2 linked regions of the Coturnix japonica genome follow. The protein of the gene in region 1 interacts with the protein of each later gene in a biochemical or structural test. Links are inferred from orthologs where the notes say so. Each region holds a gene or a part of one and is shown in the gene's direction. Other genes may lie near its edges.

Evidence for each region. The genes of interacting proteins can lie anywhere in the genome.
Region 2: the proteins of SNAP25 (region 1) and CPLX1 are reported together in a solved structure, tested with the Homo sapiens proteins (2 studies listed by BioGRID, with this or other methods). The link is inferred for Coturnix japonica from reciprocal best matches to the Homo sapiens genes SNAP25 and CPLX1.

What each region holds. Positions count from the first base shown.
Region 1 is NC_029518.1:11,887,796-11,895,497, reverse strand, and holds the start of SNAP25 (synaptosomal-associated protein 25), read left to right. Parts: upstream 1-3,354; 5' UTR 3,355-3,515; intron 3,516-7,702.
Region 2 is NC_029547.1:46,350,479-46,357,036, forward strand, and holds the start of CPLX1 (complexin-1), read left to right. Parts: upstream 1-3,217; 5' UTR 3,218-3,289; coding exon 3,290-3,320; intron 3,321-6,558. UniProt on the Homo sapiens protein: Positively regulates a late step in exocytosis of various cytoplasmic vesicles, such as synaptic vesicles and other secretory vesicles.

The sequences.
Region 1 (7,702 bases):
CCTCAAATTACTCCAATTGCCCAACCCTTCGGGGACTAGGGAATGCCCTGGCATCCAAGTCTGGGAAAACACGGAAACCAGAAAGGCTACAAACTGTTTAGTGCCAAAGCAGGTACATTTTTCTCCTCTCCTTTTTTTTTGCTCCCTCTGTCCTAGTTCAATTAGAATTTATTTCTCATCTGCATACTAGAGGCACAGATGAGCAGTGCAAGGTATTTCATTCTCTGCTAACAAAAGATAGAAATGCCTGGGAAACGTGGAAGGGACCAAGGCAGTCTCTGTCTGACAGGCTTTACGACTGTCTCTGGAAGAGCCCAGGGATTAACATCCAGGACCTGGTGGCACTGCTCAGCATTTTGGTGTTATGCTTGCTTTCTGCCTCCCAGCACAGCTTTGCAGCATGCAGGCTCATGTTTTGGAGACTGAAGGTGATTCTGTGAGCAAAGAGCTTCTACTGCCTGCAACCATACCTCAAATTGTGGACAAAACATGGGCTGCCGTTTCCTCCCTGCTATCATGCTGCAGGCTCTGCCTGCTTTGCATCACTCTGGCTGCTGGCCGGTAACACTGGAACCCACTTCATGCCACCCTCATGTAGCAAAATATGTTCCCTGTGTCATTATCCACAGGCTGTGCCCACAGGTACTAGTTGTTCAGCTTACTGAATATTTGCCTGAATAATAAGGAGGGAGCTGAATCATTCTTAGAGCAAATTCTAGTTTTCTCTCTCCTCCTACTTCATTTTTAGGCTTCACTTATCACAGCTCTCCTTCACACAGCATTAAGTGAGTGTTTATATACTATTAGAGACAGTCAATAAACTCCCCCCTCCCCCTCTCCCCTCATTTTTTTAAGAAACAAAGCATCCCCAAATGATGCTAGAGAACAAGCTGAAATTGCTTAGTAGTGCTTATTGCAACAGAAATCCTGGTGCTGCGGTGCAAAAGGCTGCCCCCCCTCTGCATCTCCCAGGATAGAGGCACACACCTTCCTGAGCAACACAAAAGGTATCTGCTCCCTTATTCATTTAGAAAAAAACACACAAACCAACTGTAGGAGAGGAATTTGTCCCTACTGAGCTTAATGGGCAATGTTCATGGTCTATTTAGTGATTCTGCCTTATGTTGTTTTATTAGAAGACACGATTTCTGCTGCAGCAGAGCTTGAAAATTAATCTGAAATTGAACTCAGTTTTCTCAGTAGACACCTACCTCCCTCCCTTCTCCTACCCCCTCCTTCTTCTGTCTCTGACCATCCCTGAGCACTCTTTCCCCAAGTTATGCTGCATGACTTCTTTATTTTTTATTTTGCCTTCACTGCATTTTCCTTACAGGCATTTGACAGAAGCAGCCAAATTCATCCCTGTTGGTATCCAATGGACTGAAATTCTTCTCAGCAGTGTTATTTGGCTGAATCCAAACTCAGTCAGGATTTTGCAGTGCTGGTGGCTCAGTCAAAATAACAGTTTATAATTTCTCTCTCGCTTTCCTTTTCTGCCGTCACTGTGAATTATTAATAAGAACTAGCATTGCTCTCTTAAAAATTGAACTTCATTTCAAAACCACCTACCAGACAAGCTGTCTGAAAATTTCTTCTTAACTTTCTGTGTGTACTAAGAACTTGCAAAGCACAATGCATGCGCATGGACTGCCTGAATTTCAGACCGAGACACACGCTGGGATTCCTCTTGCTTTCTGCAGTGCATACCTAATTGGAGTGCTGGCTACTGTTAACCCATATATGAGTTGAGCAGAAAAGGTTTGCCTTTCCATACTGTCATTTATGATGCTAAATCCAGGTCCTGCTCAAGGTGCTGATCCAGATCCCTCACCTAGAAGGGGGGCTGTCTGCACAGCGTTGATCTCTCTCTACTTGTCTGCCTTTACAGCCCTTAAGTCTGACAGGTTCTCTCCTTCCCTGCGGTTTTTGTGTGCACAGCTCATCAGATACTCTACTGCAGCAGGAAGCCCCTCTTCCCTGAGAATTCCTTTGTTGTATATTTAGCAAACTTTTGACTGCTTCCTTCCAAACGAGACTGAAGGACATATTTTCGTAGGAGAGGGTGAGAATTGCAAAGCACGATCTACAATCACGTTTTTCTATGGGGAACTACAGAGCAGGGGAGGAGGAATCACCGCAGTTCTTTCTCCTTCCCCCCCCCCGCACCTCCCCTCCCCTTTCTCTCCTCCACCCCCATACAACCACAACATGAGACAAACGTGCTCCAAAATACAGCTGCAGAGCCTTCCCCCTCTTCCGGTCTTCCCTGCCATGGCAATAAGGGAAAAAAAGACATAATGATTAGGGTAGAATTATCACTAATATGAGACTGATGTTTTGACACCGTCATCTGCAGACTATTTAGAAAAGCCATTAGCACAGTGTCAGAGTTAAGCATAGCCAGTGCTCAGTGACTGCTCACAAGAGAGGCTCAGACGGAGGCACCTCTGCTCATGGGTAGGTCTGGATGGTTCCATACACGAACGTGCGCAGGCTTGTGGAATGAAAGGGAAGGGATAACTGAGGTTATGAAAGAGTGTCGCATTTCAGATGCAATCCCCATCCTTCATTAAAATCTCCGTTAAGAGATACCTTTTACAGAAAGATGTTTTGTAACAAATGAGAGGATTTCCTCTCCATTAAATATCACACTACAGACAGCTCCATTTGCTCCAAATTAGGTAAGCTCTGAATAAATATTTTAATTAATCCATGATAAATAAGCCAGGCTTTTTCCCAGAACAGAGTCACTGCTTTCCTCCTTGGCAGCAGCGGTCTGTTCTCTCTGTGCTGTATGTATGCACGTACATGCCTGGGTTTTTTGTGAGGGCTTTTTTTTTCCCCCCTTCTCTCTCCCTTTTCTAAACCTGTCTCTCAAATGATCGGTTATAGCACATGTCCTTATCTGTGGATTTCCTTGCGTTTGTGTGCTCTTATTTCAGGGGGGAGGAGAAGGGGAATAATCAGATTAACACACTCAGACCCGTGGCAGGATGCTCTGAAACATAAAAAGAGGGAGAGAAGGAAGAATTCACACATAAAAATAGAAGCCCACGTAGATTGGCCATATATGGAGTACCGGGGACTTCAGAGGGATACCCTCTTCGGACCACCCCTTTGGCGGAGGCATGTTGCTGCAGGAGGCCCCTTCCCCCCTCCCCGGGCGGTTCAGCCCCCGGCCCCCAGGCTCGGAGGAGGCCCGGCGGGGCCGTTTGTCGGCGGGGCGAGGAGATCGGAGCGGGAGGCGGCGGCGGCGGTGATGACTCAAGCCCGCCCGCCCGGCCCGCTCTGCCCCCCGCCCGCTCCCGCCTCCCCCATTCCCCCCCCCCCTCCGGGGAGGGCTATTAAAAGCTGCTGACGTAGGAGCGGACGGCCATCTTTGATGAGGGCACGGCTCTCGGTCCATTGAAGAAGGAGACCCGAGGAGGTCAGCAGCGGCTGTCCTTGCCTCCCAGCTGCGGCACCGAGACACCAACCCCGCCGAGGCGGCCCGGCGGAGCGCTGCACAAGCCGAGGTAAGGGCGGGAGACCACCGGGCCACCGACTGAGCAAGGGGAGGGGGCTGTATGAACGAAAATGAAGCGAAAAAAGGATTTGTTTAAAGGGGGACGCGCTCGGCGTTTTGTCTCCTGTCTCTGGGCTGCTACAGGGATGGAGGAAGTCGAGGAGAGGGGGGGTAATGCCGCCGCCAGCCTTATCGCCGGCTGGAACCATGGGAGGGAACCGAGCTCTGTGTTTCCGCTGTATCGGGCACGATCGAAGGCGGCAGGGAGCCCGAGGAGAAGGGCAAGCAGCGCATTTCTAACCTGTACTGGGAGCAGGGTGCTGCGGGGCTCTCTGCTCTGCTGGGTCGCGCAGGGCTGCAGCCGCCCAGGGCACTGCAGCGCCCTTCCCGCACCGCACCGCACCGCGCAGGGCTGCGGCGGCGCTTCGGCACCGCGGACGGAGGCCGGGGGGGAGGTCAGCAGGGAGTACTGCGGCTCTGCGGGAACGGGAGGCGGTTCAGCACCGCGGACAGCGTCCGTCAGCACAGCGGACAGCGTCCGTCTTCAGCACCGCGGACAGCGCCACGGCGCCCCGGGCTTGGAGCCGCGCTGCAGGCGGAGGCGGGTTCGCTGCAGCGCCCTGCGGCTCCGCACCCCCCCCGGGCAGCCAGCCCCGGGCAGCCTCTGCCCTGCCGCAAGGGAAGCGAGCCCATAGCTGAGCTGCTAGCTCCTTCCGGGACGGGACCTCAGGCTGAAACAGCTGGGGCTTTGCGGGGTTTCTCGGCAAGTCGAAGCGCAAAGTGGGAGAAATAATAATAATAATAATAATAAACAATAATAATTACAAGCTTCGGTTCTTGAAATTAAGCGGCTCTTCAGCCTGTCTCCCACCCGGCCGGTTGGTGGAAGGGCATTGGTGCAAGGGAAACGGGAGTTATGTAACACCTGGTCCGCGGGGTCTCTCCGGACCAGCGGCAGCCCCTAGGGCATCCCCGCAACCACAGAGGGTCGGCCCCGGGCATTCTGCAGCCTTGAGTCGGGGCAGCTCAGCTCCTCATGCAATGCAGGCAAACCCACCTCGCACTCCTGACCCTGGCATCCCTGTCCCTGGCGTTCCTCTTCCCCTGTCCTTCCTGCTCCCTGGCACCCCGCTTTCCTTCTCCACTTGGTACAGCTCACTGCTGGCAAAGTTGGTAACTTTGCTGTTTTCTGCAGGGCAAATAAACAAGAGGGGATGAGGGAAGTGGGTTGGGCGTCCAGACATTGCACTGCGTAGCTGCGTCAAATGAGGGCCATGGGATCTGCCAGATTTACGTGCTTGGCTTGAGTAATTGCTGCTGGTTTCATTCCCAGCTGAAAAGGGGGTGGGGGGGAGGAGGTGGGGATGGAGAGGCTGGTCTGTGGTGAAGCCTGGGGATGGCAGATCAACCCACCAAGCCATACGTGGTTACTGTCAGCCCCAGCTGCCGCATCCACAAGGACATGCCTGTCCCTCTCCTCCCTGCTCCATCCTAGCTCTGATCTCCATAGACCATGACAAGACAAGGCTGGTCTGGAGGCAGACACCTCTATGGGCTGCAGGGGAGGAAATGGGGCCATCTGGGTGATGAGAGCTCCAGGGGATACAGATGAAGAATCCTCCTCCCATATCCCTGCATGTCACTGAATCATGGTCAAAGATACCAGTCTAGGAAAAAGTGGCAGTGGTTTTCCATTGCTTCTGCATAGTGCATAAGGGGATGGCAAGGAGGTCACTTTGATTCCTAGGATGAGTGCCAAAGAGACAGCAGAAGTGACCAAAGCAAAGGTACAAGCAGGCCTGATTTGCAAAAGTGAGAGCTTGAGGCTCCCACTGAAGTCAGGAGGACTGGAAATAACCGAGCATGTTACGAAACAAAATGCAGCTAAACAGCAACCCCAAGTAAATGCAGTTTAACTATATTTATACAGCTAGCTAGGAAATGATAGTGAGATATCGGATTCTATGTCCACTGAACTCATGAGGGCAGAAAAATAAAGAACCCTTAAAGTACATCTAATGAAACACAGCTCCAGTTTGCAGATTTACTGCATTGGGGGTGGAAGCTGTATTTCAGGTCATCAGAAAGCTTTTCATTCATCTCTGTACAGGTTAGGCATGGCAACAGACAGTGAGATTAAACTGCTAAGGCAAATAAAGTGTAGTCTATATCTAATTCCTGCTCTGCTATAACCGAGCAAGGTAACTAATCAACATGCTTTCCTGTCTTATTATTAACTTAAGCAATTTTTAGGCTTTTGTGTCACAAGCCTATGTTGCAACAATTTGAGGTAAAATGGCAAGCATACAGCAGAACGGAGAACTCAGTCTCTTAATTCCTTCTCTCAGGAATGTAAAAAACCCTAGGAAGAAAGGAACTTGGTTTACCTTGGCTTGTTACACTACCATACTTGTTCATTTCATTTAATTTTTTCCTGATTTTTTTCCTCAATTTTTCATAACTAGAGTATAATCACAGCACTTTCATTATTAAAACACATGCACATTTATTTCAGACTTCTAGGGCTTAAGTCACTTAAAACTACAACAAATGTAAACTCACTTTATGGCCTTCACTGAAGTGAGTATGTTTTTCTTTATCTGAAGTTTCCTCTACTGCTAGAAATGCAGTCACCTTTGGGCTGGGTGAGTGCCAAGTAGTCTGTAACAGTATAATTGTTGAAGCTTTTTAGAGCATCTAACGCAGAGTAGAAAAATGTGTTTGAGAACAGCAGCAGGCTGCAGGTCTCAGGCAGATCACAATTACCTCTAGGAGGTTGGGCTTTGGAAAAGGCACTAGGGTTCATATATCTACTCCTGGGGGAGCTGGATAGAGTTTGTCAGGAACATCAGCTGTCAAAGTATAGATTATTTCTTTTAGCTCATCATTTTTGAGCCTTTACTGATACCTGCGCCCTTCACTTAGATATACTCTGGCTTCCTTCCTTACTGACTTAGCAGATTCAGCTTCTGCATCATATTACAACAAGCACTTCTCCGAAACACACAGGTTATATTCCCAGTTCTTGCCCATCATGCCTTTGTCACTACCTCCATGAATCTTAGATGCACACTTCCACCAGCAAAATCTGCCTCTCGTCAAACAATAGCTTTTAATAAGCCGTCCTGCATCTCACTGGATTTTCTAGGACTTTTTTTTTTACCACCAAGAACAAGCATATATCAACTTGATAGGCTTGAAGTTGTTCCTTCCTGCTTTATGACGACCCTGTGGCCAGTGTTCCAAGACTCAAAAATGTTTTGAATTGATTGATGATTTGAATGGCCTAGAGGAAGTTTTTGGCTAATTTGCCCTGTTACTTAAGAATGAAATTAATCTTGGCCTTCACATCTTTCACTGTTTGTGCTCCTATTTCCACCTCTCTTTCCTCATTGTCATGCCCACCTACAGTCCTCTTCTGCTTACTTTTAAAGAATACTGTGATAAAAGAAACACAGGCTTAAACAAAGCATTAAGATGCTGTCAAGATGGGAGATGAGCATGATCTTTAGCCTTTGATTATTCTAAGGCTTCTAATCCAGAGTCAGCTGAAATCGAGGAAAATAGTTCCAGCAGTTAGACTTTGGATGAGGCTGAGAAAGCTCAAGTCAGGCTATATGCCACTAGAGATGCATATGGGGTATGAAAAGCATTCCACTCACAACAACAGGCATTTGTTGGTTAGACCTGCAGTCAAGAAGAAAGTAGGTCTGCACATCATAGTGTGGGACTTACAACAAAAGACAAGATTTAGCAGCTTTGTTTTTTCAAAGGGAAGCAAGGTATATCCCCTGCACAGACATGTACACTCTGAAATAGATAGTGATATACTGCAAAGAGAATCCAATCATTGCATTATACCCTTTTCCTTTATTTTATTCTGTGTGTATGTGTTGTTTTTGTAGTAGCTGCTTTTTCTAATGAAAGACAAGCTTTGTCATCTTATTCACTGGAGGAAGCTGAATTCCAATACAAGCATGGGGAGGAAAAGAAAGAAATATTATGTAATTCATCATGGCTGTTCCTGGCCTTTGAAAGCTGAAAGCTAATGCTGGCCAATTCAGCTATTTTAAATGATTTTTTCTTTTTTCTTGAAAAAGCTAACAATGCTCCATTTCTGTTTTTAAATGAGACAACTTATTATCAGGCAACACTGTCAATTGGTGTGTATTAGCATAACAGAGTGCTGTGTTGCAC
Region 2 (6,558 bases), on another chromosome or scaffold:
CATCCGTAAACAGAAAGATTTCTGGATAAAGTTCCACGGAGAATTTTGCTTGTAGTTTTCTGTGTCCTTCATCTGCACCAGATGACATAGCAGAGCGGATGCCTACTGCTCTGGTTCTGCAAGGGAAGAATTAGACTGTGCCCAGAATCGGGAGCGTGGTGTTTATCAGTCGCAGTGCAAAGCAGACCCAATTTTGTTCCACACGCGGCGGCGCTCCTCTGTCCATGGTGCTGACAAATAACCCGCATCTGCACCTTCCCCTTCCCAGAAATCACCGCTATTTCTGTCTTCTGTCCTCGCCCACTAAACATACTAAAATTGCATTATTGCCAGCTTCACATTCATAAAAAGTTACGGCCATAATCTATGCCATCAGAAAAAAAATATCCATGGAGCATTGCTCTTATCATTGCTATGGCTGAGCAAGATGCTATTTCTCCTGTTGCCAAAGGCACGAATCTCTGATAAATCTTGTATTGGATCCCCATCCATGCAGATGAGTGCCTCAGCATGATGAGCAAAAGTTGTGTCAGGCCTACTGTGTTCCATTTCAGAAGCAAAAGAGTTCCCCAGAATTATTTCTGAATCTGTTATTTGACAAAGTTCTATGTACTACGTCACTTCTTTTTTACTATGCCCTTCCTTTTCTCAGTATTTGAAACCTGTGTGATGATGGTGAGAATACTGGTGGGATCTTTCCTGACTGATAGTTTAGAGTGCCTTCTGAACAGAAGACACCAAAATCAAGCTTAAAAGCATTTGATTTTTTGTTGTGAAGGTACATCGTGTGAGAGTTAAGAGTTGCTTGGAAGTTCATATGTGGAGTGGCAGAGAAATCCTGAATCTGAGAATATCTGTGTCTCATTGAGGTTTATAGTCTGGTGCCTAGTTCTTATGAGGAAAAATGAGCTGTGTAGTGGTGAGTGCCATGAATCAGGTGTTTTGTGTTTCTCTGGCAGCTGCAAAAATCATCTGGAAAAAGTAGGTAGTCTGGAGACCAGACCACGATAAAGCACCTTTGCATGTGAGTTAGGGATTAAAAGAGGGTTTATTTATTTGTTTACCTTCTTCTTGCTTCTTACTATTTTTTTTTTTTTTTACTTTTCTGAAAACCGTCAGTACAAGCAAAGCACATCTCTATTCAGCTGAGCTTCCTAGGCTGATATTAGGGTCTGTCTGAGAGATCACTTTCTAGGAGCAATCTGGGTCAGACCCAGGTGGGAGGATGCTGGCTTGAGCACCGAAGCATGCCTTGCTGTGCGTGCAGCAGGCACCGAGAAGCCACGGTAGCCGGCACTGCTGGACAGTGAGCAGGCTCTTTGCCGTGCCTGCCAGACCTGCTTGCCTTTCCCCACGAGGCCCTCCCTGACTTTCAGATGAAGTCAACCAGTGAAACTATTTTACCGTGTCCCGATTACACCATCGCGCTGCTCCCCCGGCCGGGGCTCCCCCTTTCCGCAGTCCCCGTCCTCCCCCGACCACTTCGGCTCCATACGGTTTGCACAGGTAGCGTTCCACCTCTCCTGCTGGTGACAGGAGGACCGATCCGCTGCAGAACTCGTGCCCGCTACACCCAGCCCCGGGAGGGCTGTCGGCATGCCCAGTACCCGGGGTGGAGTATTGCTCTGATCCTCTCCTTCCTCTTCTCCTTCAAAACCCGTTCTGAACACGGGCTGGACAGCGGACCGCAGCCTTCACGCTCTTCATCAGGCGACCGCGAGGAGGAGGGTCCTTCTCCTCCCTTCCTTGCCCCCGCCCTCCCCTCATCTTCCCTTGGGATACAGACGGACCTTGTCAGGGAGGGAGCGCAGAGCTCAGCCGGCGGTCCGTCCGGCCACAGTACAATCCAAGCCGAAGGAGAAGAGAGGACGAGGCGCTGCTCGCTCCCTGTCTTCCTCGCTGCCTGACAACTCTTTTCAGGACCTAGGGGACGAGCGGAGATGTCCGGGAATGACCCAGAGCGGAAGACGCGGATCACTCCCACACCTTCCCACCTTTTGCAGGAAGGAGTATTTGCAGACGTTTCCCACACACCCCTGAGGATAACCAAGGAAGCGCTGGCAAAATACAGCGGAGGGCTAATCCCTCCCCCATCTCCGCCAGGCGAAGAGGCAGGGTCCCTGGTGCAGGCAGACAGCGGGAGATGAGGCAGGGGGTGCACACATGGAGTCGCGCACCCCTCCGCGGGGCTGGCAGAGCCGGGGACCTCCTCCGCGGCCAGAGCCCAGGAGCGAGGGCGGTACAGGGAAGGGGCGGGGGAGCGAGAAGCAGGGGGAGGGCGAGAGCCCGGCTTCAGCAGCCGGGGGAGGAGGAAGGAGGGACCGTGTAGGTGGGATGGTCCGGAAATCCCGTGATAAAAAGAGGAGCGCGGGGGAAAAGTAGGGAGAAGCTTCGGACTCGTTCTCTCTCCTCCACTTCACATCCACAACTTGCCCGCTGGCACATGGGTGCCGGTCGGAGCCGCTAGCAGCGGAACGGTCCGCAGCACCTGTCCAGCACCGCACAGCGCCCACGTAGCCAGCGAGGTACAGGCACGGGGTGGACGGGACGGAGGGTGCCGTGCCGTGCCGTGCCGAAGGGTGCGTGCCGGCGGCGTGCGGGAGGGCAGCGAGGAGAGGCAGCTGCGGGCAGGCGGCGGTGGGTGCAGCCCTAATGGCACCTGGGAACCGGAGCCGATGCCAACGAAGGGAGGCAGCAGGCTGCGCGGAGGGGATACCGGGCTGCGCCCGCCGCCGGTCCGTCCCCGGCTCTGGTGGAGCATCTCCCGGGGAGATGCTGGCAGTGCACCGGGATCCCCGGCGAGAGGTGTCGCATCCCCGCGTCCCGCCGCCACGGCTGCATCCCCGCCGCTCATCCTACCCGCTCGCCCCGCCGGGCACACGCGGAGCGTTTCACCTTCAAATGCCCCCTCCGGAAGCCAGGTGGCGGGAGGTGCGGGCGGGGAAGAGAGAAAGTTAGGAGCTTTAACGCTTTCTCGTCCGCGCTGCCGGCCACCCGCACTCTCGGGCCATCACTGCTCCCCTGCCCTCTTGCCTTCCCCCCCTTCCACCCTCGCACTGCCTGGCATCCCCCTGCCTTGTCCTGTAGGGCTGGAGTCCGAGGGTCTGCGGGTGGAAACTTGGCTGGGAAGGAAGGCGGTGGGGAAGGTGGTAGCAAACAGCCGCCGTTTTTCCTCCGGGAGAAACCGCTCCTCTGGTGTCTGTGCCCCTCCCCGCAGGCTGCCCGCCGCGGATTGCCGGTCTCCGTGCATGCGAGGTGTGAAGCTGGGCAGCGCCCCTGAGCCATCGCCATGGATTTTGTGATGAAGCAAGCCTTAGGAGGTAAGTGCAGCCTGCACGTGGGGGGCCTCGCATCGCCCTTTCCCTCTCGGTGCAAGACGTGATGGTCTGCTGAGAGCCTCCGGTGGGGCTGCGGTCGGAATTGCTATTTGGTGGCTGCAGAGGGACATGCCAGCCAGATTCGTGATCCCAGAGCCAAGTGCTGGAAGAATCTGAGCAGGAGAGGGCAGCAACAAGCAGACACCAAAGCCCCATGTCATAGAGGGAGGAATGCCTCCCACGGCAGATGTGCTGGAAGGACTCGGGCTGTGCTGGGACCCTACCAGCTGTGTCCTGCTGTACTGTGCATAAGTGCCGTCTTGCTTTGTACTGTCTTCTGAGGCAGCAGTGGCAAAGAGAGTAGGAAGAATTAATCAGGGGACTCCCAAAGACTGACATTTTTTGGTGGGTGGGAGCCTCTCCTCCATCCTTCCCCTGGACTTTGGGTAGATTGTGACCAATGGCTACTGAAGAGAAGTTTGGTTTCTGTGACCTAGCATTTGGGAAGTGATATTTGTTAATAATATTGCTGCAGTAAGCAGGAAAAAAAATAATGTGTTCCCTCACAACTGATGTAGTTAGGGGACAGACCTTTAATATGGTTTTAATGTATTTCCTTCCATGTGTGATGAGCCTCTTTAACTCAGTGATGAGAAGCAGAAAAAAACAGCAGTGAGGGGAGAGAAATGAAATCCAACACAAAAGTGTTCTGGAGTGAGATTCCTTTTTTTTTTTCCTGTCACAGTTGCGTTACCTTACTGGGCTGCTTGTCCCAAATGCTCAGAAAAAGTGAGATTGTCATTGGAACAATACCGAATACAGGCTGTCTCTGAGAGGTGCTTGGCCTTGGAAGAAGCCACGATGTGTTTCTGATTGTTCCCTCTATTTTACTATACCTGATGTGTGCATTTTTCCTTTTTTTTTTTTTTTTTTTTTTAATTTTTTTTTTTTTTTTTTTTTTTGGGTGGGGGGCGAGCAGGGGGAAGAGGTAAACTGTAGCCATGGGACTGAGAAGATGTCTCATGCGTAGTGTTACTGATACCATATGCTTCAGCACATGGTAGAGACATCTACTGCAGGACAGTTTTATGTGGCATGGAAATGTGTTTTCCATTTTTGCAAGGAATGAACTATTTTCTCACCAAGGGAGCAAAATCTCGTAGTTAAGGATAGAGTGATATCCGAAGTTCTCATTGTGGTGTTTTGAATATGAAGGCCAAATTGAAGATAAAAGGTATCTTCATCTCCTTCTATTTTGTGTGATCAAACTTGATCCTACATAAGAAAATAAATGTTCTTGTGGTAATGGTATTGCATTTCATCACTGTTTGTGCCTATCTGAAAGAGAAACACTCCTGAGGAGGGCAGGTTTTATATAGGTTATCTACACTGTAAGGTTGCTTACACGGAAATGAACCTGGATCTGCATGGTAAAAACAGCCTGTGCAGTTGGAGATCAGGCAGCCCACTGAAGAGAAATAACAGCTTGGAGACTGCAAGGGGTGTGGAGGGTTGCAGAAGCGGAGTAGCAGCTGAGATGCATACTCTTATTGTGGGGTTGTGACGAGCTGGAGTTGGGAGCAGTGTGTGCTTGTACCAAACAGCATTTAATCTGGGCAGACATTCATTCTAACATAATCCTGCGTGGCAGGGTCAGGATTTGCATTATAATAGGAGCTGCTGAGAAGTCAAGTTCAGGAAGGATCTGTTGGTGAAGTCTGGGTATCTCATGTCTGCAGCAAGATGCTGCCCAGGGTGCCAGCTCTTCTGCCATCTGACATAGTATATTAGCAAACTGGGCCTGACATTTGCCCCTTGCTGGATAGAGGAGAAGGCTCTGAGGACTGGTAAAAAAACAGAAAATGTTCATTCATTATGCAGAGATGTATTTTTAACTCAGAAATGGTTTTAAAGAGGGAAAACAGCTACTTCCAGGGCAGATATATCATATCATAGGAAGTGAAGATTCTTTTGGACGCTGGTTTCCCATCCAGTGGTAAAGCCACAACTGATGCATTCATGATCCTTCTGGGAGTTCTCCCATCTCTGAGGCAATCTCTGAACATGCTTCCTGGGTCTCTAGTGGCATCTGACAATCAGATATGCATTTCCTTGGAGCCTTGCTAGTCAGAGGGGTAGAAAGCAGGAAGGTGTTTTAGAAAGCTATTGAGATGAGTTAGCAAGCAAGGAAAGATAGTTATGTTATGTGGTGTAGGAGTCTGTGAGTTTGTGAAACTCTTGAGGATTGGGATGATACAAAATTAGTTTGGCAGGTTATTCTGAAGCAGAATATGTTCATTCCGTGACCTGCAGTTAAAGGGAGTCTGCAGAAGCTTGCTGTGCCTGTACAGTGGACGTCTCTCCTCTGCTGTGCTGCCAGCACTGGGATTTTGCTGCTAGTCTTGGCAGCAGTCATTGCCTGGCTGTTAGTAGGTTTGAGATGTCTTTGCAAATTCTTGGCCCCTTCAAGGTAAAATTCCTGACCCTCACATATGTAGTGGGGGCTGTGATCCAGTAAAGCACTACAAAATATTACCTTACTTGGCCATCTGGTTTCTGTGGCATTTTTATTTTTTTCTCCACTCAGGACATTTCATTGCCCTCTGTAGAAAGTGCCCCCTTGTACTGTTTATGTGGCAGTACAAGCAGCACAGATTTGAAATACAGTCATGGTTCTGATTTGCTGTGTGGGATGACAAGAAGAAAACAAGGGGAAACTTGAGAGCTTAAAATCACTGCTTCTGCCAGAGAAGTGACAATGACAGCAAAAAGGTATTTTTACCTCTGCCCATAGTCAGATCCACTCCACACCAACCGATATCAACACAGATGTCTGTTGGTCATTTATCTGTTACTGTGACAGTTCACTAAGTGAACACAACCAGTGTGGTTGCATGATTGCATTTCACATTAGGGGCGCTCTTTAGCAAGACAGGTCAGAGCTCTGTAGCATTGTCATCATGATTTATAGACCAAGATGTATGACTTCTCAGGGAAATGTTGGCAGTGAAGGACTTAATACGGTCCCTGGAAGAATTTAACTATGGTATTTTTCAACGAACATCACTTAGTTTTGCACTGGTTGTGTGAAAGCAAGGGATGCTTTAATACCTGACTGCTAGTCACACTGTTCTGGCTCACTTCCTTTATCACTGTGGACTGGACAAACAGAGCGAACGGTCTGAAAGAGAACAGATGCTAACTCTCATTAAGCTTTGCTTTGCCACCTCTTTTTACTGGA